Linked DNA regions of Oryzias latipes. The protein of the gene in region 2 interacts with the protein of the main gene of each other region in a biochemical or structural test. Links are inferred from orthologs where the notes say so. Each region holds a gene or a part of one and is shown on either strand. Other genes may lie near its edges. The genes, in order: arhgef26, discs large homolog 1-like protein, kcna4, tanc1, rho guanine nucleotide exchange factor 16, tmem178a and adgra2.

What was found.
Region 1: the proteins of discs large homolog 1-like protein (region 2) and arhgef26 interact in a test that uses a peptide from one of them, tested with the Homo sapiens proteins (2 studies listed by BioGRID and IntAct, with this or other methods). The link is inferred for Oryzias latipes from reciprocal best matches to the Homo sapiens genes DLG1 and ARHGEF26.
Region 3: the proteins of discs large homolog 1-like protein (region 2) and kcna4 interact in a biophysical measurement, tested with the Homo sapiens proteins (2 studies listed by IntAct, with this or other methods). The link is inferred for Oryzias latipes from reciprocal best matches to the Homo sapiens genes DLG1 and KCNA4.
Region 4: the proteins of discs large homolog 1-like protein (region 2) and tanc1 interact in a test that uses a peptide from one of them, tested with the Homo sapiens proteins (2 studies listed by IntAct, with this or other methods). The link is inferred for Oryzias latipes from reciprocal best matches to the Homo sapiens genes DLG1 and TANC1.
Region 5: the proteins of discs large homolog 1-like protein (region 2) and rho guanine nucleotide exchange factor 16 interact in a test that uses a peptide from one of them, tested with the Homo sapiens proteins (2 studies listed by IntAct, with this or other methods). The link is inferred for Oryzias latipes from reciprocal best matches to the Homo sapiens genes DLG1 and ARHGEF16.
Region 6: the proteins of discs large homolog 1-like protein (region 2) and tmem178a interact in a test that uses a peptide from one of them, tested with the Homo sapiens proteins (2 studies listed by IntAct, with this or other methods). The link is inferred for Oryzias latipes from reciprocal best matches to the Homo sapiens genes DLG1 and TMEM178A.
Region 7: the proteins of discs large homolog 1-like protein (region 2) and adgra2 form a complex in vitro, tested with the Homo sapiens proteins (2 studies listed by BioGRID and IntAct, with this or other methods). The link is inferred for Oryzias latipes from reciprocal best matches to the Homo sapiens genes DLG1 and ADGRA2.

Annotation. Positions count from the first base shown.
Region 1 is NC_019871.2:12,832,187-12,835,709, forward strand, and holds the end of arhgef26 (rho guanine nucleotide exchange factor 26), read right to left. Parts: intron 2,016-3,523; coding exon 1,873-2,015; 3' UTR 667-1,872; downstream 1-666. Other genes in the region: ATP-dependent RNA helicase DHX36, read left to right, coding at 1-35. UniProt on the Homo sapiens protein: Activates RhoG GTPase by promoting the exchange of GDP by GTP. Required for the formation of membrane ruffles during macropinocytosis. Required for the formation of cup-like structures during trans-endothelial migration of leukocytes.
Region 2 is NC_019875.2:12,784,518-12,788,782, reverse strand, and holds the start of discs large homolog 1-like protein, read right to left. Parts: upstream 2,801-4,265; 5' UTR 2,200-2,800; coding exon 2,181-2,199; intron 1-2,180. UniProt on the Homo sapiens protein: Essential multidomain scaffolding protein required for normal development. Recruits channels, receptors and signaling molecules to discrete plasma membrane domains in polarized cells.
Region 3 is NC_019861.2:9,905,414-9,909,493, forward strand, and holds the end of kcna4 (potassium voltage-gated channel subfamily A member 4), read left to right. Parts: coding exon 1-1,673; 3' UTR 1,674-3,323; downstream 3,324-4,080. UniProt on the Homo sapiens protein: Voltage-gated potassium channel that mediates transmembrane potassium transport in excitable membranes. Forms tetrameric potassium-selective channels through which potassium ions pass in accordance with their electrochemical gradient.
Region 4 is NC_019879.2:20,885,825-20,889,800, reverse strand, and holds part of tanc1 (protein TANC1), read right to left. Parts: intron 3,257-3,976; coding exon 3,134-3,256; intron 2,663-3,133; coding exon 2,381-2,662; intron 2,245-2,380; coding exon 2,099-2,244; intron 1-2,098. UniProt on the Homo sapiens protein: May be a scaffold component in the postsynaptic density.
Region 5 is NC_019865.2:7,808,295-7,812,270, forward strand, and holds part of rho guanine nucleotide exchange factor 16, read right to left. Parts: intron 3,781-3,976; coding exon 3,617-3,780; intron 3,384-3,616; coding exon 3,327-3,383; intron 2,207-3,326; coding exon 2,046-2,206; intron 101-2,045; coding exon 1-100. UniProt on the Homo sapiens protein: Guanyl-nucleotide exchange factor of the RHOG GTPase stimulating the exchange of RHOG-associated GDP for GTP. May play a role in chemotactic cell migration by mediating the activation of RAC1 by EPHA2.
Region 6 is NC_019859.2:131,515-136,261, forward strand, and holds the start of tmem178a (transmembrane protein 178A), read right to left. Parts: upstream 2,889-4,747; 5' UTR 2,790-2,888; coding exon 2,324-2,789; intron 1-2,323. UniProt on the Homo sapiens protein: Acts as a negative regulator of osteoclast differentiation in basal and inflammatory conditions by regulating TNFSF11-induced Ca (2+) fluxes, thereby controlling the induction of NFATC1.
Region 7 is NC_019867.2:17,250,779-17,254,754, reverse strand, and holds part of adgra2 (adhesion G protein-coupled receptor A2), read left to right. Parts: intron 1-1,582; coding exon 1,583-1,654; intron 1,655-3,534; coding exon 3,535-3,606; intron 3,607-3,710; coding exon 3,711-3,782; intron 3,783-3,976.

The DNA.
Region 1 (3,523 bases), on a different chromosome or scaffold from region 2:
TTTACTTCAATGATGCTGATGACGACGATGATTAAAGGTGGCCTGGAAAAGACTGCCAGCATCCTGAGACTCCAAGTTTGGCTGGGACATTTCGAATAAGCAGCTGGTGTCTTTGATTTAAATTTTAGTTCTAGAGTTCTGCTGAAGGTCAAACAGAGGACTGGAAAAAAATCTACATGTAGTCTGCACTTGAACTAGTTCCATTTGTCCTTCAATTCGCTTGTTTATTATTTTGCACGGACCAATCTGTATTTAGACAAACCTGTGGTCTTTTTTGTTTTGGAAAGTTTTTTTTATGTTGGCTTATTGAATGACTTAAAAATATACTTTCATGTTTTCCTTTTAGTTGTTTTTTTAAATCTTCGTAAAAAACACCTAAAGGCGTATACTTATACAGCACTTTACTGCCCTCTAACTACCCCAAAGCGCTTTACAGTCACAGTCCCATTCACACACTTATGGCTGCTCCACTTGGACCAACCTTTAACCATCAGCAGCAATGTGGGGTAAGTGTCTTGCCCAAGGACACATGGGCATCCATAGCAGGAACCGAACTGGTGAACTTCAAATCCCAGGTCGACCACTATACCTCTGCACCACGGCCGACCCAGAAACACCATTTTCTATGGGTCAAAGTTTACCAGCAAGTGAAATCAAGAATTTTAGAATCTGAGACGGCAGAGGTTTTTAATAACAAACATCAGTTTTTCTATTTACAAGATCTGATATAAATCTGTATTAACAAAAACATGCATGTTTTACATATCTACACGGAAGATTTACAGTTCTTACAAGACGATGTCACGCTTAGATGGGCGGTATCAAACGGTTTTCCCTGAGTGCAAAAATGCGGAGTCCACACACTGGCTCTGGCTGCTTTGCTCACCTCTTCCAATCTTGTGCTCATCATCTGGGTCAGCTCCAGAGAAGTGGGTTTGATAGATGGCATTATCGCCATGCCCTGACAAAGCCATTTATTTCCTTTATATCTGGGAAACGCTTGAAAGATGACTCACTCCGGACAATCACATTAAAAGCGGGCCAGGCGGGGTCGCCCGTCTCCGCGGGTCTCACCATCAGCGCAGGCATTAATTTCTAGAGCATCGCAAATATAAATCCTAAAGAGGCACAGAGCCACCTCTGGTCACTGCCAAGTGTTGTATTTTTTTTTTCTCTCTCCTCGATCCTCCTTACTGAAGTGATGGAGAGAATAATGGCACCCGTGACACAAATGTGGAGTGTGATTCATGATGTGCCATTACAAACAGCGAGGCAGAGGACGGACATTTGGCCCTCTGCTTAACCCGAAGGACGGCGAAAGCCATCGCTCCTCTCAGACGGCTGCAATGCCTCTGATTTCATATGAAGCAGGAAGTCTAACATATTGGTTGGAGTAAAGCTCTTCCTCTCAAACTGAGCCTCATTAGGACATGGCTGATGTTCTTTTCTGCTCTAATTGGCATGGTTTATGTCCTGCAATGGTTCTGGACTAGTTTAAGCGCACATTTGTTTAAAAAAATTGTTACAATTTCACACTGTTTTAATGGCAGGGTGCTGAAAGCAGCAGCTTTGGCTATAAGTGTGAAGTTTCCCGACTGGCTGGCAAATTAATGGACCCGAAAGATCAAACCAGCACAGACTGATGAGTGATTCAGAAAACCTTCTGTCCTCTGAACGGTTGGAAGAACTGGTGTTAAGAGCGCGCTAAGCAGGGTGACGGCTTCCTCTTTGTCATTCTGTTAAATTAGAGTTGTCTCGTAGCTCAGCTTAGCCGCTGAACTGACTTGTCGGAAATCGGCGGTTCAGGATCGGGGTCATGGACGTGTCGGGGCGTCACAGTTACGCAGTTTACGCCGTCCCCTTGTTATCCCATCACACATCCGTTTCCAGCCCCTGCAGGCGATTCATCCGCTGCATGTTGCGTTCGATGGTGACCTGGCACGTGATTTGAACGGCGCACTCTGCCAGAAACCATCCCCGCTCCCCATCACGCAGACGCTCACCTTCATACCAGCCTGAGGAAAGAACAAGAGTTTCATGAAAAAAACAACTCATTTTTCATTCTACAGAGTTTTAGGCTTTTTTTTTTGTTACTGCTCTTTAACATCAAAGCTGGTTGCTATAGCCACCCAAACTGAAATGACCCCTGGCCTTCACACTTTAGAGATGTGAAACTTCAAACGAACGTTTGGCCTATTAAGGGAAAAGAACAGGAGGAGCGGCAAAGTATGTGACCAAAGGTAAGAAGGGTGAGAAGAATAATAAAGATGGAGTTCAGGTGAGGATCTGGGGGAAAATACAAGAATTTTTGAAACCTTTAAACTCTTTGCTCGTTTGTTTTTTGAAACAAAATGAAAAGAAAAATGCATCACACCTGATTAATTCACAAAAGAACACATATGTAAAATAATTATTTAGACGATTTAAAGGCCCACTCTTAAAAAAATAAATTAAACTTAAAATTGCATTTCTAGATTCTAATTCAAATTGTGGTGAATCAGACATAAAAAACTACTATTTGAAAAATACGCTGGACGGGCCACAAGCTCCCTGCTCTGAGCTCTCAGCAATGGGAAGGGGCTGAGGGGTGGGGTTGCTCCTTGCCAACTGTCCCACCCAAAACTCTCCAAGGTGAATTTCTGATGACCTACTGCGGCTCTGCAGAAACTAGGTCCTGAAAAAAAAAAAAAAAGATTTTTTTGATTTTGGCTAAAAACTGCATAATCGTAATTAAAAGACCACTGGAATCACTTAAATAAATCAAAAGATGATTGGAGTGGGCCTTTAGTGTCCAATATAAATTTAAGTTCATTTTAACATCTGTTACATTTGAGATAGGTGTACTTTTACACTGATTCAGCACCAGTTTGAAGATGACTGGCTATGGAGGTTATATGCTATGAAGTTTGGTGTTGAAGTTTAGCCATGTACTAGGAGCAGGAGAGTTTTTGGTGGTTTATGCTGTACTTTTCAGTTTGTTATGCTTCAAATAGGAAAAATCTACAGAAAAAAAAGAAATCTACAACAGTCATATGTCTGTTCCTTACTTGGACTTCTAGAACAAAGCCATGCGGATGCATAAGGATTGTGCCATTAGGCCTTTTCCTAATTAAAAACATTCTCTGGAAAAGAATATGTTGCTCCAAGACCTTTATACACTTGTTTGCCTTCATAGTTCATTTTAAAACACAAAGGCTGCCCAAACACTCATTCAGCCCCTCAACATTAGAGCTGCTGGATGCAGACTGAATGCTAAGAAGGCCTCTTTCTAACTCCAGGCATCATAGTTTCTATAATCACCATCGTGAATGTCAAATTTAGACTTGTGTGACCATTGAACTGTTTCCCGCTTTGAAACATTTCAAATGAGTCTTGGCCCACAGGACACGACTGCTTCTGGACCATATTCAGACATGGCTTGGACAGGGCTTCAGTTGGCATCAGCAGATGGCGCTGTGTTTACCCACAGTAGTTTCTAAAAGTATTCTACGTCGAGAATCGTGCTGAGACCCCTGGCATCAAA
Region 2 (4,265 bases):
TTTATTTGAGATAAGGTGTATGTTTGTTTTAAATACATTTTTCCAGTTTAATCCTGTTTTATGTGGTCGTGACCTTCATTGCTAAGCACTTTAGCTGCATTTCCATTTTATGGGCATGCATTACACTCCGTGACACGCCTTGGTTTCAGTCAAATTTCGATTTCCGTGGAATCCAGCCTCTAAGTGGGCGGAGTTGTTGCATTTAAGCTGTTTTTAAAATGGCATAAATCATTTTTGCTTTACTACAGCAAGTTGATCAACTCCTGAGTTTGACCATTTCAAATGTTATCAACTTCAAAGGTTAGTCAAACCAAACCAAAGTTTAAGCACATCAATTATTATAACAAATGTTTCCGGAGTATTTAGTGATACGTGGACCATTGCCCTGTAGTTTGGTCTCGCGTCGCCCAAAGACCTTAAACTTCAGACAAAGCAGAGTAACGCTGGAAAACTGGCTCTAGGATGCCCTTTTAAAACTAATATGAACTGGATGCATCAAAGTCTGACATGGATAAAAATCAATGATAAACTTGCTTGTAGTCTGGGTCTGTCTGTACATAAAATGCGGACATTAAAGCTTAATCTCACAATTACTGCACACTCCTAGACCTGATTTTAACACACAAAGGGCCTCAGCTACTTTTCTATTACCATGATCTAATGCACTCAAAAAACAGCTATTTATAGAGCAATTGCTTAGAGGAATAGGCTGCCTTTAGACATAATGGTTATAGGTAGTGATAGTAGTTTTAAAGTAGCCAATAATCCAAAATATTCAAATATACATGAAACGAATCTACATTGCGCTGTTTTGCCTCGTGTGCTGCTTGACAGCTCGGTTGGCTGTGTGTAGGATTGGTACGTGGGTAACCAGGGTTCATTTCCCAGGGGGCGCAATGAGCGTCATCCAGTGTGGGTCTTCGGGCAAAACCCTTCTGCCTTACTACGGAGCCACAAGGGGCCACGACTGAGACTCCCTGTGCCAGTCCCCAGCCCGGAAAAATTACAGGGTTGTGTCAGAAAGGCCATTTGGTGTAAAAATCTCTGCCAAAAAAACATGGGTGAATCAGTGGAAGCTCTGAAAAGACCTACCATGAGGTGAACAAAAACAAGTACCGTACTGTTTTGACTCGTCTGTTTGATTGTTTTTAATCTTTGGGATTTTGAATGACTATAAAGACTATAAATAGGCTATGTAATACTGTCATCTTTATTCAAAACTTTTGTAATTTATGTATTTTTAGAAGTGGGCCCCAGTAAGATTAGTCTTTACATTGGGATACACTAATGGAAAGTTTAGTAATCCAGATTTGTAAGGGAAACTTCATACATAATACTTGATCAACTTTCAGGTTTGTTTACATCCGAGTTTGTCCATTTCAAATGTTACCAACTTCAAAGTTTAGTTGAGCCAAAGCTTTAAAAATGTCAAACTTTATCTGAAACAGTTTCAAAATACAGTTTTCAGGGTCATGTGGTAACTTTTAATAAACACAAGCATTCTAAAAAGGGGACTTCTTAGTGACGGCTTCTGAGCAGATTTTTGAGGAGCTTTCCAGGCTTCCGTAGCTGCAATGGACTGCAGGTAAACCAAACCTGGCATCTGTATTTACACAGCAAACTTTCAACAAACTAAACCACATCTGGAATCAAACCTGCTGTGGACAATTTAACTATTATAATTTATATCTAAAATATATATTTTTAAAAACACACACTTTCGTTTTAGTTCCATTTTGACTGGATTGTTATCCACATTTCTGGCTTATTATTATGATTTTTGTTGGCGCTACATTAAACCGGTTCCGCTTCGTTTATGACCCATTATGATGATCATAGGTCTTTAGAACACTTTTTTTATCCTGCTTAGGGAACAAAACCTCACGAATGTTTTACTCGAATTAAGTTTATTTTTAATCGCTCTCCAAACAAGGTGCCAATTTTATAACTTGGTTAGCAACATAAGCTAACAAGCTAGCTTTATTTTGACTTACTTCACCTGGCCGGCATGGCTCGGCTCTGCTTAAGGAGGCCAAACTGGGCCGCGTATTTGTGAGTCCGTGGTTGTGCGTCTGTCTCTTATGAGTCTCGTGTTTCTCCGCACGAGCCAGCACTTAAGACTTTCAGCCGTTAGCAGAGCTAGCTCGCCTACTTGGTGCATAACTAAAGTGAACGCTTACCTTTCTTTCTCACAGGCATGGCTCGGTTCGGCACTGTGTTCGCCGCATACAGTCCTCACACTGGGCAGGTTCGGCTCGATTAGTCCCACATTCAGCCCGCTGTTGGCGCTCCAGAAAAACCCTTCCCAATCAGTCAGCACCGACCAAGTTCCCGTCCGAACCTGCAAAACTCTGAGGCAGGTGAGGCTGAGCCGAACCGGACTGCAGCTTTTGCTCCCACGGGCTCCAACACAGACGTCCCAGACAAGAACTGAAGAATTTAGGGACGAACAGAGCGGCAGTCCTGGCTCTGAACTTCCCGTGAGGGAGGCTCCTGAGCCGGCGAGCCCCGCGCAGGCTCACCGCGGCTGCGGGGAAGTGACGGTCCGGCTTCCCGCTGCGGGACCTCACCCTACGGCGCCGTCCCGGGGCCGCGCTGGAGGGGCGTGCTGGAGCCGGAGGTCCGGAGACGAGCTGCCGCTCCAAATAAAATCAAGAAAACTTCAGAGTCCAGCCCGCTGCCCCCTCCCTGCCTGCTGCTTTCGTGTCAAACTTGTCCGACAGGAGATCCCTCCCCCTCCTCCTCCTCCCAGGTCCACAAATCCCAAACTTTCCTCCAAAATGGCGGAGCTGGGAACGTGAACCATGTGACTCACCCCCCCCCCCCCCCCCCAACACCCACACCACCACCACCACACCTACACACACATACACGTTTACACAAAAACACACTTACAAAACTGGAGGGGGGACTTAAGGATAACAAGGAACAGAGGAAAGTGTCAGGAAGTAGAGAGAACGGGAGGGGCGGGGCGGGGTGGATAGAGGAAGGAAGCTCCAAAGGGAGCGGAGGGGGTGGGGGTGGGGGGATTAAAGGTTACAAATGTGACGATTAAGGGAAATAATGAAGGAAAAACGGAAAAAAGTGGGGAGAAGTGCCCCACCAGGAAACAGTAGCTGCGTGGAACTGTTCCTTTCATTCAGAGGGGTGACGACCCAATTCTTGTTGGGGGGTTTATTGTTTGTTTTATTTAGACTTAGAATTAAGGGTGTAAACAATTAATCTACGAATCGACTAATATTCCTCCGATCTCTCTGAGGCACGTTCTTAGTGGAATCGATCCATATCATTTGAAAAAAAATCTTTTCAAAATTAAATGAATCGATTATATTGATATTGGGGGGAAAAACTCATTTGAATTGAGGCATGGAATTTTTATGTTACTATAACCTAAAAACGACCAAGTGCATCACAGCAGACAACAGACATGTGACGGCGGAAAAACAGTCCAATATGTGAAAACACTTTGAAGACGTGACCAAACATTGTGGTAGAATGCTCTAATAATGTCTTCTTGTATTATTTTGAAATCAAAGAAACTGAAATGTGAATATATTTACCACTAATTCTTGGTAACTTGTTTGTTTGTTCACATATTTAATTTAACTTTGACAATCTTGCAAGAAATACAAGGAATCTGGAAAACCTCACCTGCAATGTTCAGTACCAGGTATCTGAGTCACACTGGTTGAAGCTTTTGGCTGAAGATGTCCTGGATCGATTTTATGTCCATGATTCGGATCGTTCAAAATGAACTACAATATCGACTATGAATCGTATCATCAACCACAACTTACATGAATCGATTCGTTGTTAAACTGAATTGTTACACTCCTACTCTACTCAGAATCCCATTAGCACTTAAATCGATGCATGTTTTGATAATTGCCATCTGGGTGATCATGTTTTACCCACTGAAAGGCTTACCCATGAAATTGAAAAGGTTAGGATTCAATGATGTCAGATTCTGCTTTGATAGCTACTTCAGAGTGAAGCAGAATGCTTTGTCAGTCCCACTGATCTAAACATTGGATTATCACTAGGATCAGGGTGGGCCATGTATCGGTCATATGGACCTGATTATACCCCACCCACCTTGACTGACAAAGTTCCTAAAAACTGAGTTTGAGCAGGACAAAGTAAAGGGAGGATTAAGTGGAGTCCATCCACCTGCCAGTCATCAAAACAGCCAATAAATACATAAATTTGAGCTGATTTCAAATCAAAACTAGACTTTTTAGTCTACTGAAACCTGCTTCCGCTGG
Region 3 (4,080 bases), on a different chromosome or scaffold from region 2:
GCGTCGGACGGTGGAGACGCAACCGGGGGACTCTCGGCGGAGACCTGCGCCACTCGGAGCTGGCGCTGCTCGGATCGGAGGAGGACATCATGATAGAGGAGGAGGAGGAGGAGGAGGAGGAGGCTGAGGGAGCAGAGGAGGAGGAAAAGGAGCAGCAGGGGGGCCGGGGAGACAAGAGGTCCAGCTTTCTGTGCAACATGGACGAGGATGAGGAGACCGTGTCGATCACGGACAGGCGGCCCCAGTCCGGGTACGAGAACGCCTACAGTGAGTGCGGCTGCTGCGAGAGGGTCGTCATCAACGTGTCGGGTCTGAAGTTTGAAACTCAGCTTAAGACTCTCTCTCAGTTCCCGGACACGCTGTTGGGAGATCCCGACAAGCGCATCCGATACTTCGACCCGCTCAGGAACGAGTACTTCTTCGACCGGAACCGGCCGAGTTTTGACGCCATTCTTTACTATTACCAGTCAGGGGGGAGACTAAAAAGACCCGCCAACGTCCCGTTTGACATCTTCTCCGAGGAGGTGAAGTTCTACGAACTCGGAGAGGAGGCGATCCTGAAGTTTCGGGAGGATGAGGGCTTCGTGAAGGAGGAGGAGAAGCCTCTGCCGGAGGACGAGTTCAAGCGTCAGATCTGGCTGCTGTTCGAGTACCCGGAGAGCTCCAGCCCTGCCCGGGGGATCGCCGTGGTGTCCGTGCTGGTCATCGTCATCTCCATAGTCATTTTCTGCCTGGAGACGCTGCCAGAGTTCAGGGATGAGAAGGAGTATCTGCAGCCGCGGGACAACTCCTCTGAGCCCGACCACGGATTTACGCCCTTCAACGACCCCTTTTTCATCGTGGAAACCGTTTGCATCATCTGGTTCTCCTTTGAGTTTATAGTTCGCTTCTTTGCGAGTCCCAGCAAGACCGCTTTCTTTAAAAACATCATGAACTCCATAGATATTGTCTCCATTTTGCCTTACTTCATCACCCTAGGCACGGATCTGGCGCAGCACCAGGGCAACGGCCAGCAGGCGATGAGTTTCGCTATTCTGAGAATAATTCGCCTCGTCCGGGTGTTTCGCATCTTCAAACTGTCCAGGCACTCCAAGGGGCTGCAGATCCTGGGTCACACCCTGCGCGCCAGTATGAGGGAGCTGGCCCTTCTCATCTTCTTCCTAGTTATAGGTGTCATTCTTTTCTCCAGCGCGGTGTACTTCGCCGAGGCGGACGAGCCCACCTCTCAGTTCACGAGCATCCCCGACGCGTTCTGGTGGGCCGTGGTCACCATGACGACGGTGGGCTACGGAGACATGAAGCCCATCACCGTAGGTGGGAAGATAGTGGGCTCCCTCTGCGCGATTGCGGGTGTGTTAACCATCGCGCTCCCGGTGCCTGTCATAGTGTCCAACTTCAATTACTTCTACCACAGGGAGACCGACAACAACGAGGACCAGACACCTGTGGTGGAGAGCATGCCTCCAGGATGTCCGTATTTCCCCGACTTTCTAAGGAAATTCAAAGGCTCGCCCTCGGGCTCCTCGCTGGGGGATAAAGCGGAGTACATGGAGATGGAGGAAGGGCTGACGGAATCGCTATGCGGGTTGGACAAGAGCCCCAGTAAAGGAAACGGCACAGACATAAGCAGAAAAAACAGCACTAACTCTAAATCTATTCAGACAGACGTGTGATTTTTTCTGAAAAGACATTTTTTGCCCAGCATCAGGTGACTACCCCTCAACTTTTACGCTCCATTCAACCCCTCTTACGCACTCATCCACCCCTTTCACAGTGGCAGGAAAATGCTCCATTCTTTTTCTTTTTTCCTCAACACCAACTTCAGAACCATATTGTATCATCTGAGCTGCGGGCTTCCAACTCTAACATCTAAGTCCAGTTCCACAGAAGAGACAGGCTATGCATTCGCACTTTATGAGTTTTTTTGTCACATCCGAGGGGTAGGGACGATCATTTTGCTGTTATGCAATAAAGTTATCATTTGTTTGCACTAAATTAGTATCTGCGCTGGGTTTGGGGCAAGTTCCTGTAGAGACAGAAAACTGTAGGCCATGCTGGCAACATTTTAGGAATAACTTTACGGAAAAATGTTAGAGAAACTTCTAAAAAAGCAAAGTAACATAGAAAACAACAGCGTTTAAACCCTACCAAACTGTACTCCATTGAAGAAGAAAATAAGACAGAAGAACTACCTTTATCTCTGTTCCAACACTTAAAATATGAATATATATCCATAATTGTTATATATCTTTCTAAAGAGGCTTTATTTTAAATGAGTCAGGGCTACATTGAGATACGTAGTTTAAAAAAAAAATCCCCTTCCTATCCTAAACTAAAGTAAATCATCACCATGACAAGAGTTAAGCACATTCATCATCATTTATGGCTGGAGAAATGACTCGTTGCAGGTCATCTGGACATTTTTGGAGCCTTGAGACAAACCCCTCCCCACCTTTTTTTTTTTTACATTTTCCTCCACTTTCATTCAAACCACCTCAAAGTGACAGTATCCCTTTACAAGATGGAAGATTATAGCAAAAACGACTGTTGTGGAAAATTCTTCAAGGAGAGTTTACGCGCAATTTTTTTTCTCAAGTCAATGCACAAGCGTACATGGCTCAGAAAACCAGCGGAATAAGGATGTCTTCCAAGGTATGTGACTTTTACTCCTTTTTAATTGACACAAAACACACAAACAAAGCCTCTAAAAACAGGAACCACTTGAAGAAAATCCATGCAATGCATTTGTTATTTTCTCGCCCTTGGATGTATCTCCACTACCTTGGTAATCTCTTAGACCCCCCCCCCCCCCCCAAAAAAAAAAGAAAAAGAAGAAAAAGATGCATGGATGCGCGTGCGTAACCGTGTGTAAAACACGATATGAACGCTGGACGACTATGACGCACATTCCTGCCAACATCAGTTAATGTTTCTCCTGTGCAACTTTACAGCTACCCTCAGACCTCATTTGCAACAATATCACAGCGTTTTTCATTAATAACGGGGGCAATTATTTCATCCATGATGACATCAGGTCAACTTCAGGGGAATTGTACTTAAACTTTTGTAAAAAAAAAAAGCAACACCTCATAATTCTGAAGCTCATTAATACACAATCTGAACCCCATTTTTTATCTTCATTTAAAAAAAAAAAAAAAAAAAAAAACATCACTCAGAGTAATCACTGACACCGTTTTTATACTCTTGGCTGTTGATAAGAGGTTTTGCAGAATCCCAGCTGCATTTCTGTCTAAAGTAACACAAACACTGTAATTTAATGAGATTTTGTTTTTGCTTGATGAAAGTATTTTAAACCTCCAAAATAAAAGGAAAGAGAAAAGAGGAAAAAGAATCATATCAGGGTTGTCTTCCAACAGAATTCTTGCTTTAGCTTCTTATTAACTTTACTAGATAACTTACTTTGTGTGTGAGAAAAGAGGGGAGAGACTATGTGTGTGTGTGTTTGCAGAATTTGGCACAAGTAGGATGTTTTTACAACCATCTGCTGAAGCAGGAACGTTTCTCTTTGAGCTTCAGCCAAAGAAGAGTTCACATGAGCAAAGGCTGCATGACAAGTTTGTGGCTTTGTGGTCAAATATATATCCTGTACTCAGTTAAAACGTCAAAACTCTTAGCGCTCTTCATCCTTGAACAGTAAAATAAGAGAAGCTTTAAACAAGGAAAAATTTACAACATAATGGATTCTGAATGAGATAAAGGAGGGTTATTTCATGCGATCGTACTCTAAAACTTTACTGCATCTCTCAAAGAAATGAAGGAAGGTTAGTTTTGGGAAGCTACTGCAAAAATAATACCAGACGTGTTGAGCTTTACCTCAAAAGTTCAACAAAAACAAAAGAATAAATAGAAATTTACCACCTGGTTTCAAATATGCAAGTAGGCAAGATGCTCATTTTGGAAAAGTGCAGCAATGATTTATACTGCAAGTTGCAAAAAAGTGGAGAAGCATTTGTTACTGTCAAAAAGTTGAAAAAGGTAAGCAAAGGTCCTGTAGAACTTTGCTGTTCTTTGATGCCAAAAGGCTCTGTAATGTCAGCAGCCAGAACGTTCCTTCCAGTA
Region 4 (3,976 bases), on a different chromosome or scaffold from region 2:
AGTTTACAGTTTAACCAAACAAGTTAGACTGGCATTCATTGTCATTTTTTGAAAACAAAAATTTAGATTTATGTTGTATCAGTTCTAGTTTTAGATTTTATGAGGATTTATTAAATGGGCCAACATGTACTGAGATCATATTATTATTTTGTTCACATTTTGTTCTACAATGAATCATTTCTGCTTATTACACTAGTTTCATTATAATCCAAAAAACTATAATTAGGTCCATCAAAACTCAAAATACAGACTGTTTGCTTAGAACTATCAGAAAAATACATATTATTGGGATGAATAACATTCAATTTTAAATAATTCTATTACAATTATATTTTTAAGTTTGTTCTTTCCTTTCTTAATGCTTGTAAGAAACTTTTTTTTCTATATTTTAAGATCTTTTAATAAGATTTCTCATTAAGTAAAAATGACTTGATGCCTGGAGAGATCACTTACTACTTTCTAGTGGTTTTATTGTTAAGATTAGAGTCCTTTCACATTTTTACTACTTGATTACCTCTTTTAGGATTTTTAAGATTTCTCTCCCTTGATGATTTGGGAGGTTTGGGACTAGATTGGTTGGAGAGGAAGGGTGACGTCTAAGAAGCGGTGGTGTAAGTATAGATTGTGTATTTTCACGACTCGCACAATCTTAGAAGATACGTGCTGTGAAACCAAAAGAAGCTGCAGAAGATGTCCGGCTCACAGTGTCTGTGTGAAGCTAAAAAGCCATTTCATTACAGCAGCTAAATCTAAGTATTGTATGGAAATTCTTCATCAATAAGCAATTACAATCAGTCATTCCGCCTGCTGTGCTTGTACTGGCAGACACTTAAATATATGTTGTTTCATCTATCAAATGAATAAACTACAAGGCTTGAAATACAGCAGGAAAAGTAAAAGCCTTGAAGTCCACGTTTGAATCGATGATTACAGAGAATTGACAGAAGCTGCTCAGTGTTGCATCAGCGTTCGAAAGCAGCAGCATTGCCCAAGAGAAAGACTAAGTTGGAAACGCTTTAAGTTGTAATTGGCACAAGATGTGGTGCTAGGCTTTAACAGATATGTAGGATGACCCCCCCCTAAAATGATCTCTCAGTGGTCAGAAAATATGAACATTTAGGCTTTTATTTTGGTAAGTTTGCCTCCACCGGACAGGCATCGCAAGACGACACAGCGGCTAAGACAGATGAGCAATTCAGGGCACAAAAGCTTAAAAAGCTGTAAACAGATGCCTTCACTAGAAAATAGGTCTCAGTTTTGATTAAATCTAATAGTTTTCTTTAATCCTGATCTGGACTTTCAGTGTAAAGCTTATTATTTATTATTTTAAACTGTCTCTTAGATTGACTCTTTTTTACCTTAAAACTAACGAGTTTTGAAGATCAATGTTATACTTTACATTTTCTACTGACTGCAAGATACACCATCCCCTAAATTGGTTTAGGCCAATTTATCACTTAGCGGATACAAAAATTAAGAAGGGTTTATTTGATAGGTGGTCTGACTGCCCAACTACAGCTGAAAATGTTCATTTTTCATGAAGGTGATCAAAAGTGTCCATCAAATATAAACCAAGTGGTTTGATTAATATGAATGTATGCTGTTGTATTGCTCCCATTCTGCATCCCTGTGCAGTTTATTCTTTCCCTGTCAGTTTGCATCTTAAGAATGTAAAAAAAAAAGGATTATTTGAATTATTAAATAAAAATAGAAGGAAACATTTTAATTTCATTAAATGATTCAATCTTAAAGTGATTTCTTATGGGTCCAAGAAAGCCATTGACTTGCAAAACCCTGCTTAAAAAACCCCACAGTTGTAAAATCTTTTTATCAGTCGATCCTTTACAAGAATTCGATTCATGAAAGTGTCTCAGCTGTACAAAACATTTGATGGCTTCAAGATAATAGATTTGCATACCTGAAATGTACTGATTTGTCAAAATGTCTTTATTTTCAGTGGTAATCTGCACTGTAATGCTTTATTTTCATATTTAGTTAAAAATTTTTGTTAATCGTCTACCACAAAAAGCTTTTAGTTTTCCTCATCGGTCTGCTTTATCTTTCTTCATAGTGTGGGATCCATCACCCGGACGTGTACCTTTGAAGCTAGACGTTTCATGGGCTCCTCTCTACGCCGCTGCACCTCAGGGGTTGCTGGGCAGTTGCTGGTCCTCAGTGTGTTGGCGGCACTGGAAGGGGGAGTGGCCTGAGCCGGCTGGCTGAGGGGGAGTTCTGTGCTTTGGGCTGCAATGCATAGGAAACACATATATACATATAAACAATATTAATGTGTCTACATAAACTACACTTATTGCGGGCCAGTTAACGTTCTGTCCCATTTTTGGAGTTTGAAATGTTTGTATTGCATTTAAGGTGTTACCTTTCGGTGAAGCGCTTGGACTATTGGAAGCAATCTGGCGCATGCGTCCTCCATGGCAGCTCAGTGCAACGAGCCGGGAAATCACGGCAGTCTTGCCATGACCCACACTGCCCAAAACGACAGCGCCTTGGTTGCCATTCGATTCAGTGGCCTTTAGGATGTCTTCCAGCTGCTGAAAGAGCCAATCTCGGCCAACAAACACAGAGTCAGTGGTGATGCTGGGCACCTCAAACAGCAAAGGCTTGAGCATGATGTCCGCAGGTTTGTAGGGAGCAAAGCGGGCTGAAAAGGAAAAAAAAACAATATTATCTTATTTTTGCAAAAGCTGACTTACATTTTCTATCCTCAGTGCTGTCAAATTAGTGAAAGACTTGTGTCACAGATAACTGAATTAAGAATAACTGCTTTGAAGTACAGATTGCCAATCATTTGTAGTACTTAGATAATACAATTAAAAAAATAAGCAGTTTTATCCCAATAATATTTAGCATTTCTTCTTAACTTGTTTATTCAACGTGTTGGATTTATAAAAACTAGAACTAGAAAATCCACAACCTTCTAGCTACAATTTCATCCACTATTAAACATCAGGAGAGGAAGTTACACATTTTGCAGTGTCGAATTAACACAAAAAATGTTCAAAATAAAGCAATATAGGAAATCACCAACTTTGTTTGTTATCTGTATCTACCAAAAATGACAAAGTTATCTTTGAGTGAGCAATAAACTGACAGTGCATTCCAGCACAGTCACCTTTGGAGTCGTGGGGGGGTCGTCCTCCTGTGTTATGCCAGGGCAGACGGATGGACGTCCGGAGGGGAGTGTTGCGCTGTTCATCAAGAAAGCCCAAGTCTTCTAACTTTGTGGAACTGGTTGCTGTAAACACAAATGTAGACAGAAAAAGAAGGAAATGAAGCAGACTGTCCTAAATTTTTTGGGGTGTGCCCTCATAAAAAAAAAAAAAAAAAAAAAAAAAAAAACATGACTCGGGCAGAATCAGACACTGCTAAAAAATGTTACTGCAGTTGTGCCATATTTGAGAAAAGATAAATGAAGGAGAAACAAACCAGTGTGCTCTGACATTTCTAGCTTGCTAAAGGCAGTGTTTGTGTGTGTGCATGTGTGTGAGAGCACCAGTGTAGTGCAGCAGAGAGCATCCCAGAGTCAAAGCCCCTTGTTCTTTGTTTTTCTTTGATTTCATCTGACAGCTACACACTGGAGAGCAGTAGGTCAAGGTCAAATTTTTTTTACCAAGCACAACAAAGCTGACCAAAGGGAGTCATAAAACTTACAAATAAAACAGAAAGGCAGAAACAAACCAGAATAAATGACCAAGAAAGTACTCAAAAAAAGGTTTTTTTTCAGATATTTTGAGTATGGTGCAGTAAACTGATGCATTCTGTTTGTATCAGGGTGTATCAGGGTTTTAACACCAAGATCCACTCAGTGGTTCACAGCAAATTGCATTAGAATATGAAGCTACAAACCTTAAGAAGCTCCAAAGAAATGATTGAACGATTTGAAAATCAAATATGAGCAGGTGAAAAGAATCCATCAGAGTGTCATGGCGGGTAAGAGGTGCACTGCAGAAGCTAA
Region 5 (3,976 bases), on a different chromosome or scaffold from region 2:
GTAAGGTTCGAAGTGGTGCGCTGCGTGGTTCTGAATGATATCGCTGATGTCGCGGATCACCACGTCCTCCTGGTGACGACGCTCCAGGTCTTCGAAAAACCTGAGCATCCAGAATAATGGAAGCAGTCAGAGACATATAAACAGAGGGGCCTTTTCACCCTTTAACTACCCAACCAAGTCAAAATTGATTTGAAAGTTTCTCTGCTGCTTATTGCCTTGGGCGACTAATACAAATACTCAATATTTTTTACAAAATGTTATCTAAATGTGCTCTAATGTTTAGTTGAGCAGGCAGTTAGTCCCCCATCCATCCATCCATCCATCCATCCATCCATCCATCCAAACTCGCTTTATTCCCAGTGCTGCCAAAACTACATTTACAGAAAGTAAAAATACACTTGTTTCAAGAAAAAAAAGTCATATTTTCTGTATTGCAAGATAAATAATCTTATAAAGTAAGTTTTTCCACAGCAAAATTATCTTAGTTTGAGAAGACATGTCTTGTTGACTAGATTTTTTTTCTTAAAATAAGAGTTCTTGGTAATAACATTTTCTTAGCCTTTTGGAAGACTTTAATAATTTAAAAAAAAAATCTCTGCCAAACCACCTGTGCGAATCAGTGAACGCTGATTGCTGTGGCGGCCCCTGAAGGGATAAACCAAAAGATGAACAATGTGCGAGGGGGGACTTATTCCAAGGGGTCTGTTTGAGCAGAGAGTCTGGGTCACAGGGATGTTGGAGCCTATAACCTACTAAAGTGTCAGCTCACAAGTCATTCCTGTAAAAATTGGCTGAAATAATTTATTGTTCTAAACTACTATTAAAATATTGTCAAAAACACAATTTAACTGGAAACCAAGACAGAGGTGACTTTTCTTCAACTACTTTTACCACAGAAGTTTGTCTCAGTTCATCCAGTTAACTGCACGGCTTGAGACACTGGCAAAGTAGAAGTAATTCAGCTGGAAAGAAGAGAATCTCTGGATACTTCTGCTTGTTCTCTAGTGTTATTGTATCTGGACCACAGTCAAAGTGATTTTTTTTTCCTACATTTTCTCAAGTTAGATGACCTATAAGTCATATTTTTGAATATCAGAAACTAAATAAAAGTTCTCGATGACACATTTTTTCTTTCTCCATTTTATATGTTGAAAACAAAAAACAATTTTAAGATCTTTTCTGCCAAAGTGCTTCTTTTGGATAGCAATACATTCTTTTGCAGTTCTGAACTTTGAACCAAAAGAAGTAAAATGACACCAAAAGCTAAACCACACCCAGAGGCAGCTTTATGACACACATTCACATGCAGATAACGTAAGGCGGTCAGATGTTCCATAGACAAGCTGAACTGTTCGTTGGCTTCACACATCCCATTTCACTGTCTTAAGACTAAACACAGTACTTTTCTTGCTCATAGAACAGAACCAATACTTCATTTATAAATGAAACTAAAAGAAAACAAAACAATTTCACTTCCAAACATTTTCATTTTAGGGCAAAGTACACAACTCGGTGCATTCAGGCAGCAAAACCGGTTTGGCTCACAAGTCCTAACAAGTTAATGGAACATACACAAAACTAAAGGCACACTGAGGGCAAATACTGAAACCGACAGGAAAGGAGCGTTTTCAACCCTTCAGCCAAAGAAAACCGGGTATATTTACACCTTCACGCACCATTAAAACAACTCAAAATCATTTCAGATCTGGCATTGTGAAAATATTACAATTTCATACAAACTTTAAATAGTGGTTGATATACGTTTCCCGTAACCCTTGGGCTATCCTAGGCACTTTAACATTGGGAGTTGGGTCATGTAAACCCCAAAAGACAGTGCGCTGAACCTTTTTTCTTCAGTGATTTTTGATCTTCACTGGTGTCCATGGATTACATGAAATCTTTCCACCTTTATCCACCTTTGTCATGGTAGGGAGAACACATCAATGTAAGGGTGGGGTCGTAGGATAGCACAAGGGTTAAACAAAGCCCATTATAACAAAACATGTTAGATTCTTATCAAAGTGGTAAAGGGTGTTGCTTCAAACCTTTGGCTGACTTTGAGAATTACAGAGATGTTGGAGAAGAGGTGGTGGTGCTCTGTGGGCGCCATCGTTTTACTCAGTGTTTTACTGTTCTTGAAGTGACGCACCAGGATGCCCAGGCTGTGTAGGTATGAGTGCTCTGAGCAGATGATCTCAAAAATAGCCTGCCAAATAATCACAGATAGGAAATGACAGATCACCGCACATTAAACACAAAAAACAGAACATGTATGTGTGTAAGCCTTTCCTTTAAAACTTTATCCTGAACCCACTTTAAAGTTTTTTTCCCCCCTTTTTTCGTGATAACCAGAATACATTGAAACAAGAAATTACTCGTGAATTTTATGTAGACACAAACGTGCAACAGTTATGTGCACATTGGTCCTTGGCTCAGAAAATAAATAAACAAACAGAGATATAATAAACTTCACAACCTTCTTAAATCTAGACAAAGTGGTCCAGAGAGGACAAAAAGAAAACAAAAAGACGTCAAATGAAACATATTCAGTACATAAAAAAGGTTTTGCAAATTCTTCTAGAAGTGGTATGTGTGTGGTGGATTTTAGTCTGTGTTTTTGGTGTCACACAGGAAACTGGCTGAAGGTACAAAAGAGCAGGACAAAGAAGTGATCAGGGGACTCCCACAGAGAGTGGTTACACAGGCAAGGTGTGGCTTTATTCAACAACTCCAGAGCACACACAGGTCCAACTTTTAGTTTCGACTCATTCATATCTAAGGCGGCCACTGAGCAAAAAATTGACATAAATACATAAAGTCATTTGCTATTGGTGTGTGATTTTCATTAGCATTTGAAAAGAGTTTTGGAAGGGAACGTAAAGGTGGCTTTATTGTGACACTAAACCTGCCTGAACCTTCAGTTTGAGATGAGAGAGATTTGTTTTACACACTTCATTATTTTCTGGTATGCATGTAAATTGAAAAAATAAGCTTTTGTTTATAAATTCATAAAAAACAAAAGCAGATCAAGAAATAAATGTCATCAGCGTAGATAAACGGCATTTTTTTTTACTCTATCAAAAAATAAAAATAAACAACAACAAAAAAGTGAACTGCACTCATTATTTGGGGTCTAGCAACTGTTGCAGGGGGGGTAAGTCATGCAGACACAGTGTGACATCCAGAATAAGTGAGAAAGCTACATAACACAAAAAATGTGTTTTATTAATGTATTCTTTCTGATAAAGTAACTGGCTTCCAGGAGTTCTCTATGGTTGAGGAGCTCATCATCAAAAAACCATGAAATAGAAAAACGCTGCCATTACCTCTTGTCTTTTTCTCTCTTGAGGTGTTATCCTTGAAAGAATGTCTGAGTTCTTCACCTTTGCAAGATATCAAAGCAGAAAAATATGTAACTTAAAGAATGAGTTAAAAAAACTTAAATGTTTTGGAATTAAAACCTTTGCAAATGTCACCCCTAAACAAAAACGAGGGGAGACTTTTACTCAGTAGAGTAATCTTTAAAAGTTCTCAAATGAAAAGATTTTCAGATGTACAAAAAAAATATGACAATTTCAACATAGAGCATTGAAACTTATAAGGTGAGAGGGTTAACCTGTGGCAGCTGGCTCCAGGTCAGCTGTGCTGGCTTGTAATTCTTCACCACAATGCCCTGGTCCTCCACTGGAGTCTCCACCACCACAAAGTCGTCCAGCAGCTCGTCCTGGTTGGTGGAGTGCAGGCCGCGCTCACGCATCTCTTGGTAGAGGCACGGTGTGGCTGAGGACCAAGACTACCAAATTACTTAAGCTTTACATCTATACATGCATAAAAGTGTTTAATCTTGGGTTCAACTTACCTATATCATAGAACGACTGGTATAAAAGTAATTCTAAATTATTTTACAGTTATACTAAATTGTATTGTTTACACAACAAAATAAGGATCTTAATACATTTAAAGGAAACTATATAAT
Region 6 (4,747 bases), on a different chromosome or scaffold from region 2:
TTCTAATATGTCAGAACGGGTCAGAACAGGTCTAATATGTCAGAACGGGTCAGAACAGTTCTAATATGTCAGAACGGGTCAGAACAGGTCTAATATGTCAGAACGGGTCAGAACAGGTTTAATATGTCAGAACGGGTCAGAACAGGTCTAATATGTCAGAACGGGTCAGAACAGTTCTAATATGTCAGAACGGGTCAGAACAGGGCTAATATGTCAGAACGGGTCAGAACAGTTCTAATATGTCAGAACGGGTCAAAACAGGTCTAATATGTCAGAACAGGTCTAATATGTCAGAAAGGGTCAGAACAGTTCTAATATGTCAGAACGGGTCAGAACAGCTCTAATATGTCAAAACAGGTCTAATATGTCAGAAAGGGTCAGAACAGCTCTAATATGTCAGAACGGGTCAGAACAGTTCTAATATGTCAGAACGCGTCAGAACAGGTCTAATATGTCAGAACAGGGCTAATATGTCAGAACGGGTCAGAGCAGGGGTAATATTTCAGAACGGGTCAGAACAGGTCTAATATGTCAGAACGGGTCAGAACAGTTCTAATATGTCAGAACGGGTCAGAACAGGTCTAATATGTCAGAACGGTTCAGAACAGTTCTAATATGTCAGAACGGGTCAAAACAGGGCTTATATGTCAGAACGGGTCAAAACAGGGCTAATATGTTAGAACGGGTCAGAACAGTTCTAATATGTCAGAACGGGTCAGAACAGTTCTAATATGTCAGAACGGGTCAAAACAGGTCTAATATGTTAGAACGGGTCAGAACAGTTCTACTATGTCAGAACGGGTCAAAACAGGTTTAATATGTCAGAACGGTTCAGAACAGTTCTAATATGTCAGAACGGGTCAGAACAGGGCTTATATGTCAGAACGGGTCAAAACAGGGCTAATATGTTAGAACGGGTCAGAACAGTTCTAATATGTCAGAACGGGTCAAAACAGGTTTAATATGTCAGAACGGGTCAGAACAGGGGTAATATGTCAGAACGGGTCCGAACAGGTCTAATATGACAGAACGGGTCAGAACAGTTCTAATATGTCAGAACGGGTCAGAACAGTTCTAATATGTCAGAACGGGTCAAAACAGGTCTAATATGTTAGAACGGGTCAGAACAGTTCTACTATGTCAGAACGGGTCAAAACAGGTTTAATATGTCAGAACGGGTCAGAACAGGGGTAATATGTCAGAACGGGTCAGAACAGTTCTAATATGTCAGAACGGGTCAGAACAGGTCTAATATGTCAGAACGGGTCAGAACAGGTCTAATATGTCAGAACAGGTCTAATATGTCAGAACGGATCAGAACAGCTCTAATATGTCAGAACAGGGCTAATATGTCAGAACGGGTCAGAGCAGGGGTAATACGTCAGAACGGGTCAGAACAGTTCTAATATGTCAGAACGGGTCAGAACAGGTCTAATATGTCAGAACGGGTCAGAACAGTTCTAATATGTCAGAACGGGTCAGAACAGCTCTAATATGTCAGAACGGGTCAGAACAGTTCTAATATGTCAGAACGGGTCAGAACAGGGCTAATATGTCAGAACGGGTCAGGACAGGTCTAATATGTCAGAACGGGTCAGAACAGTTCTAATATGTCAGCACGGGTCAGAACAGGTCTAATATGTCAGAACGGGTCAGAACAGGTCTAATATGTCAGAACGGGTCAGAACAGTTCTAATATGTCAGAACGGGTCAAAACAGGTCTAATATGTCAGAACGGGTCAGAACAGTTCTAATATGTCAGAACGGGTCAAAACAGGTCTAATATGTTAGAACGGGTCAGAACAGTTCTAATATGTCAGAACGGGTCAAAACAGGTCTAATATGTCAGAACGGGTCAGAACAGGGGTAATATGTCAGAACGGGTCCGAACAGGTCTAATATGTCAGAACGGGTCAGAACAGGGCTAATATGTCAGAACGGGTCAGAACAGTTCTAATATGTCAGAACAGGTCTAATATGTCAGAACGGGTCAGAACAGTTCTAATATGTCAGAACGGGTCAGAACAGGGCTAATATCTCCAAGCAGTAGCACTCAGTGATTTTATCAGTTTGGGGCTGCTTAATGATTCCAAATCTGCAGTCCGCCGTCTCTGGTTCAGACCCATAAGGATCCTGGACCCCATTACCCACAATTCTCAGTGCTCCAGGTTCAGGTGTCTTGCATCTATGACGTCAGACATTCACTCACTGTGCCATTAGAGCGCGCTCTCCTCTGTGAACAGCAGACGTTTCTGGTGATACTGAACGCGCGTGCGTGCAGGAGTGTTTGCTTGTATGTAAAGTATCACATGCACGCGCTGACCCCGTGCGATGAGCTTGTCGATGTCCTGATCCTCAAAGTAGCACTTCTGCCACAGCCCCGCGTGCGTGGAGAACAGCGGCCTCCCGCACTCAGTCTCGAGGATGCCCATCCCGAGGATCGCGCGCCAGTTCTCCAGCAGCTCCTCCTCGCGGCTACCCACGTGCACGGGCTTCATGAGCGCCACGTCTCGGTGGCGCGCGCCTCCGTCCAGCAGCGGGAGATGGTAGATCGGCATGTCCCGGTTCTTCTGGTCCGTGGAGTCCGCCCCGTGCCGGTCGCAGTTCTCCTTGTGCGCGCGTGTGTCGGTGTGGTACCAGTGGTCCGTGCAGATGGCGGTAACCAGCAGCAAGAGCGCGAGCGCGCTGAGCGTGAGGCTGGCCGCGGAAACTTTCACGGTGACCGGTCGCGCGCTCTGCATGACTGCGAGGACCGAACCGGTTCCGGTACACGGAGGTTCTGCTGCCATCCTCCGGCGCGTGAGCTGCGGCGCCTTTGTCAGTGAGAGCGCGTTGTCATGCCGACTGACTGTGCTGCGTCAACGTGCACGCGGGTGGCACCGGAGGCGTGGGGTCTAGCCTTCAAAATAAAAGCCCAGTCACAGATGACAGTTATTTTGCTGCAGTGACGTCACGGCGGAGGATGACGGCAGTGTTTCTGGTTTTCCAGACACATGAAGTCGGTCCGTTTAAATCGGATCAGGTCAAAGGCCTGAACACTAATCCTGGATTGGGTCTGGAGAGCGGTACCAGAACCCCAGCCTCTTCCTGATGCTGCAGGTTGTTGGAGAAGATTCACGCGGTTCCCATTGGCCCAGTAGACGGGTTCTCCAGAAAGAGCGGCTGGACCACAGTCTCATGTCATTCTAGCAAACACCATCATGTGTTGACCTGCAGTCACCACCTTCCAGGGGAGGAGGGAAGAACAAAGAATTTAAAGCTGAACTTCAGAACCAAAACCAGTTAACTTCCATGGGAGTGAAAGCTTTGATAAGAGTTTGTTATGATCTGTGGTGCAAACAAAAAAATCCCTCGTTTAAAAGCAATGAAATGAAAAAAACTGGGATGACTGTGCAGACGAGCAAAGAATTATTATAAGATTTGTCAGCAGCCAGTGGTGTTGGACCCAAGAACCAGGAGATCCGGTATGTGGCAGAAACTTAGAAATGACATAATAAACTCACAAACTACAGGAGCAACAGAAGGACGACGAAGCAGATGAAGAACTGAAAAGCAGATGCTCAAATACACCGACACATCACTTCATGAAGTAAGCGGCTGACGGGACGTCAGGGTTAGCAGAAGAAGGTTATTTACGGGAGGAAATGCTTCCTCTTCCCATTGTTTGGTGAAGAAGCAGATCTTCACAGCTTGGATCAGTTTGGACAAGCTGGTCCTGTGTCATACTTCTTGGAGATACTTGTTGACAGTGTCTGGTTACCATGGAAACGGCAGAACTGCCCCAGACGGACATGTGCTTTGAGATGGTTGGAAATCTTTAGGTCAGTAAGGCAGTAGAAGCTATCACTCTTATTTTGAAATGCCAAAGGAAGTCCTGTCACACATCATAACAGGTGACTCTGGGCTTGGGGGTGTGGCCTCTGAGCTGCTGCTGATGATGTCAGGTGAGCAGAAGTGCTGACTGCAGTTGAAAGTGGAAAGCAGAGATGTTCTGCTGGTTCTTGGCTCCCAGGGACTTTAAACTAGAACATCAGACGTTCTTCGTTTCCACATTTGCACAGACAAAACAACATGAACAAGTTCTGAATTCAGAGGCAGAACTTCTGGTGAAGAGGTCCAGCAACAGGAAGCAGATCTAGCTGGATCTCCTTCATAAAGGTTCTTGTCTACTCTCAGCTGCAGATCAAAGAAATGTTCAAAAATGGGATTCTTCCAGGATCTCCATGACGATAGGAAGGAAAACCCTAACACAACATTGTGTTGTTTGAGTAACCTTCACACACTTCCAAAAATCAGGTCTTTGAATTGAAAAGTTTCTGCTTGAACGTCTGCTGTTCTTCAGCTCTAAACCTCACGCAGACGTTCAGCCGCTGGACCTTCAGGTGACGTTGATGCGAGACGGTTCCAAAACAGAACTGAGAAGAACCCTGCTGTTCCCCAGAGCTATTTATGTTCCCACACACGAGAACATGCTTTGTGAGCAGCTACGATGTTTGCTCTTCTCATCAGAACAAACATCTCACACCTTCAAAAAAGCAGCTCCTGTGTGCACACGTGTCTGGAGCCTGGGGTGATGAGGTGACCTTCATCTCTTCCTCTCAGCTGACGTGGTCATTCTTTATCTGCACATCAGAAAGGGCCTTGTAGTGTTTCCTTGGTGACCTGAGGGCTCATGGGAAATCTCAGGTGACTGCATTTCAATGTGATGCAGAAGAGAGGGAAAACTTGTCCATTAGCCTGATCAATA
Region 7 (3,976 bases), on a different chromosome or scaffold from region 2:
CAGGGTGGGAGAGACAGACCTTAGAGAGAGGAAATGGTGGGTAGCGCCTTGTCTTTCAGCACCACACTAATGAGCTTTGTGGCACACAGACTGAGAGCAAAAGAACAGTTTTTTTTTCCTTTTTGCACTGGTCAACAGCTCCTACACCACTACTGACACACAGACACAAATGCATTCTCAGGACACAGCAATTACCACATGCATCAAGACAGACAGAAAGAAACTCCAGACATAAACACCCAGGAGCATTTTTCTGTCCAACATAGCTTATTTTATTTTGCTTTCTTACTTGTGGGTATGAGAAGTTTCAATTGTACCTTTATTTTAATCAAATTGAAATGGTTGAAAAAGACTTTGTCTAAAGCTTTCTGTCAAATAGCTAGAGCTATCCAAAAATGCATTAACAAAAGCATAACACACTTCAGAATGACTGATTTAAAGCTAGAAAACTGCTGCTCCATCCTAATATCTGTCAGCAATCCAAATATGAGGAGTGTCCTGGAGGTATGTTGCATCGACATGAACCCTCTTTTGCTTTTATCACAGCCATTCCATACTTTTCGGGTTATTTTATAAAACAATGCCTCTGTCCAATGTTGACCAGAATAGAAAAAAAAAAGCTTGGCTTTTGCAGATTAAACATCACAATGGTGAAGAAACGCCTGAGGTTATACAGTGCATAACGGAGCACCATCTAGAAAAGCAATGAGAGACTGTCTTTTAAAGGAAAAAGGAGCATAAAGTTGCCTAAGGGTGTCCATTTTACAAAAGCACAGCAAATAAAAGGAGATTTTAAAAAAGGATCATTGCATTCATGTTACCAATCCCTCTAGGAAAACGTCTTCTGTGACAGTTCCAACAGGAACACATTTTTTTGTGCTTTAGGAATGTAATCACATGTCCTGTTAATAGCCTTCCATCTTTTGACCTGTATTACTATTCCCACCTGACAAATAAAAGAGAAAATATGGGATCCATGTAGGCATCTGCTTAAGTTGTTTAACATGTGTTAGTGGTTGCAGAACGTCTTTAAAAAAAAAGGATATTAGCTCTATAGACTATGAAATTAGATCTTCAAAAACATTTAAAGATCACAGCCTCTATGTTTTCTTTGTGCCCAAGTATTTTTTGAAATTTGGTTAAGAAATTCATTTTTTCTACACCTAGATCCAGGGCGCTGGGAGAATGAGATTTCCTATGATTGTGAAGAATTATTGTGCATTGTCCCACAACAGGAATCAGCTTTTGAAAAATGTGTCAACATACCCTTTCATAAAAATCTGAGGAAGCTGTTTTGTTTAAAACTTTGTCAATTTGATGTCATTTTTTAACTGGTTCTAGCCTCCATGCGAACAAGATGTAGCTTCTCTGTGATTTTTTTTCAAGATTGTCTTTGCTTTGTGCAGACCTTGACAAACAGTTTTTTTCTTGAACAACTAGTAAATGAATTGGCTGCTGGCTTCAGTTATCTTGAAGCTATGGGGTAGGGAATCCAGATGAACTTTAGTTACAAAACAGCTGTATTTCTGCCAGCATAAACACTCCTGCATACATTTTCAAAGTTTTCTCTCTCTATTTCCAGAGACCTCAAGCACAACTTAATCAGCACCATCATGCCAGGAGCCTTCCAAGGCCTGTCTGAGCTTCGGAGACTGTAAGTAGATCGTGATATGATCGCAGCTCTGCTGAGTGTAAAAAGTACAAACACAAACTTAGTGGACTTGAAATGATTGGTATGTGATGACAGATTCCAGTTTATTTGTGTGATCTCACTAGATGGACAGTAAATGAGTCACGGTAACAGTGTTTTGTTGGCTCACAGTAGATCATATTGAGCTCCTGGTGACAGTATGACATAGACGCCTCCTCAGATAAATGTTTCTGCCGACATTTGTGGAAGCTCCTGGGTGTCAGGCCTGTCGACTACTACTGTAACTTAGGGGCTACCCATTACTAACGTTTGCAGCCACTAGCTGCTTTCTCCTGGTGCTTTTGGAGTTTAAGGCTTTGTTGCAGAGTGAGACGAAAGTGTTTGTCTGCGCCACACCACATGACTCCCCATCCCTCCTCCTTGTACTTGTATTTTCCCTGCGAAGTCTGGGGCTTCTCAAAACAAACAGGGAGAGATAAACACATGCTCTGGACAGCTTTCTGCTGGGTGGTGTCAGAGGTGCAACAGAGCAGATCCTTTCTGGCTACAGCCATACATCATGCTCAGTGGTGAACAGGGGCCCTGCTTTTATCCCGCTGATGATAAACCTTTACTTGGATCCTCTGGGATCCTGAAAAGGGAAAGTGTCTGAGGCTTTTTGTTGGCTGGTTTGAAACTTTAAATCAGGAGAAGTTGGACTGCGTTAAAAGAAGGTCTTACACTTTCTTATAAGGTAAGCTTAGAAGAAGATTTCTGGATTTTAGAGCAGTGCTCGACATACTTCAGGTCCCCAGTGTCAGACACTGGAGCTCATAGATTTTCAATATATAAACAAAGGCCCTTGTGCTCTGAGATACTTTCAAATTGGCAACAGTTGACATTCTGAAATGAACTGGATTGAAAACTACAGATAATTTCAAAACATTTCAGCTTTATTTGAAAGCTGTTGTTGTTATGAATAGAAAATTAAGTTAAAAACATCAAAAGTTTTTTGACACAAATCTATTTTTGATAAAAAGTTAGACCTTTAAAAATTGGAATTAATAGAAAATTGGTTGATAGCTCCCTTCTGAAACCAGCCCCCCAGTGGGCATTTAAGGAACTGTTACATTTGGTACTCTCGATTGAAAATCAAGTTATAGGACTTGGTTTTCACATATTTGCACTATGTACATTCAGGAAGTGAAAGGAAAATTGATATATTCAGATTTATATGTTGTGCGTTAAGGGGAAGTGGTGTAGTGGTTAGCAATGCCACTACCCAGTGGATTCTGCATGTCCTGGCCATGCATGCATTGGTTTTCTTTGGCTTCTTCAAAACCAAAGGCATGCTTGATAAGTTTATTGGTGACTCTAAATTGTCCCTGAGTGAGTTAGTGGTTGCTTATCTCTGTGTGACCCTGCAATGGACTGGCAAATTGTCCAGTGTGTAGCCCACCCCATCCCGACAGTAGCTGGGTTAGGCTTCAGCAACCCTGTAACCCTGATCAGAATTAAACAAGTGTATAAAATAGACAAATGGCAGATTTCATGCAATAAATCAAAAATCCGATAACATTAATATTTTACCACATCAGAAGTTTCTCACATTTGGTAAGATGAATTTTACCTGGCATGCAATATACTGTCTCAAGAGAATATATCATACAGCCCAAAGTGGCTTTTCAGGACACAGTGGGCATAGAAAATCAACTGTATTGTGACAGGGCTGTGGACAATAAAGCTTTTAAGAATATTATGTAAGATTCATAAAGTATGTGTCCTGGCATCACTAAAACAGAGGAAGTGATAAATAAAAATGATCTCTCTATTTGCAAAAAGTTAAAACAAGTTTTGATTTGAAAAGAAGTAACTGTGAATAATTTGTTTTTTCACACTTCTAGCGACCTCTCCAACAACCGCATTGGCTGCCTGACAGGAAACATGTTCCAGGGGCTGACAAATTTGGCTAAACTGTAAGAGACAGATTGATTAGTGTCCGTGAAACTGTTGTGTTCTTTGATTTGTGGTGAAGACATGAAGAGAACCTTGTTCATGACTCACGTATGCATTCTGTTAGGAACTTATCTGGCAACATCATTTCCACCCTGGATTCTGAAGTGTTTGAGGAGCTGCCGTCTCTCAAGCGGGTGTGAGTACTGAAGAAAAGTGAGCTTGCTTTTGGGAGCAATACTGTCCATTTGTGAAAACAAACAAACAAACAAACGAAAAAACAAGTAAGCCACTTTATTTTCAAGGAGGTAAAAGTAAAGGTTGTACCTAAAAGTGGAAAGGGCTCAAGAACTTCTGTGTTTTAATACTCCATAATGGTATAGGAGGCTGATG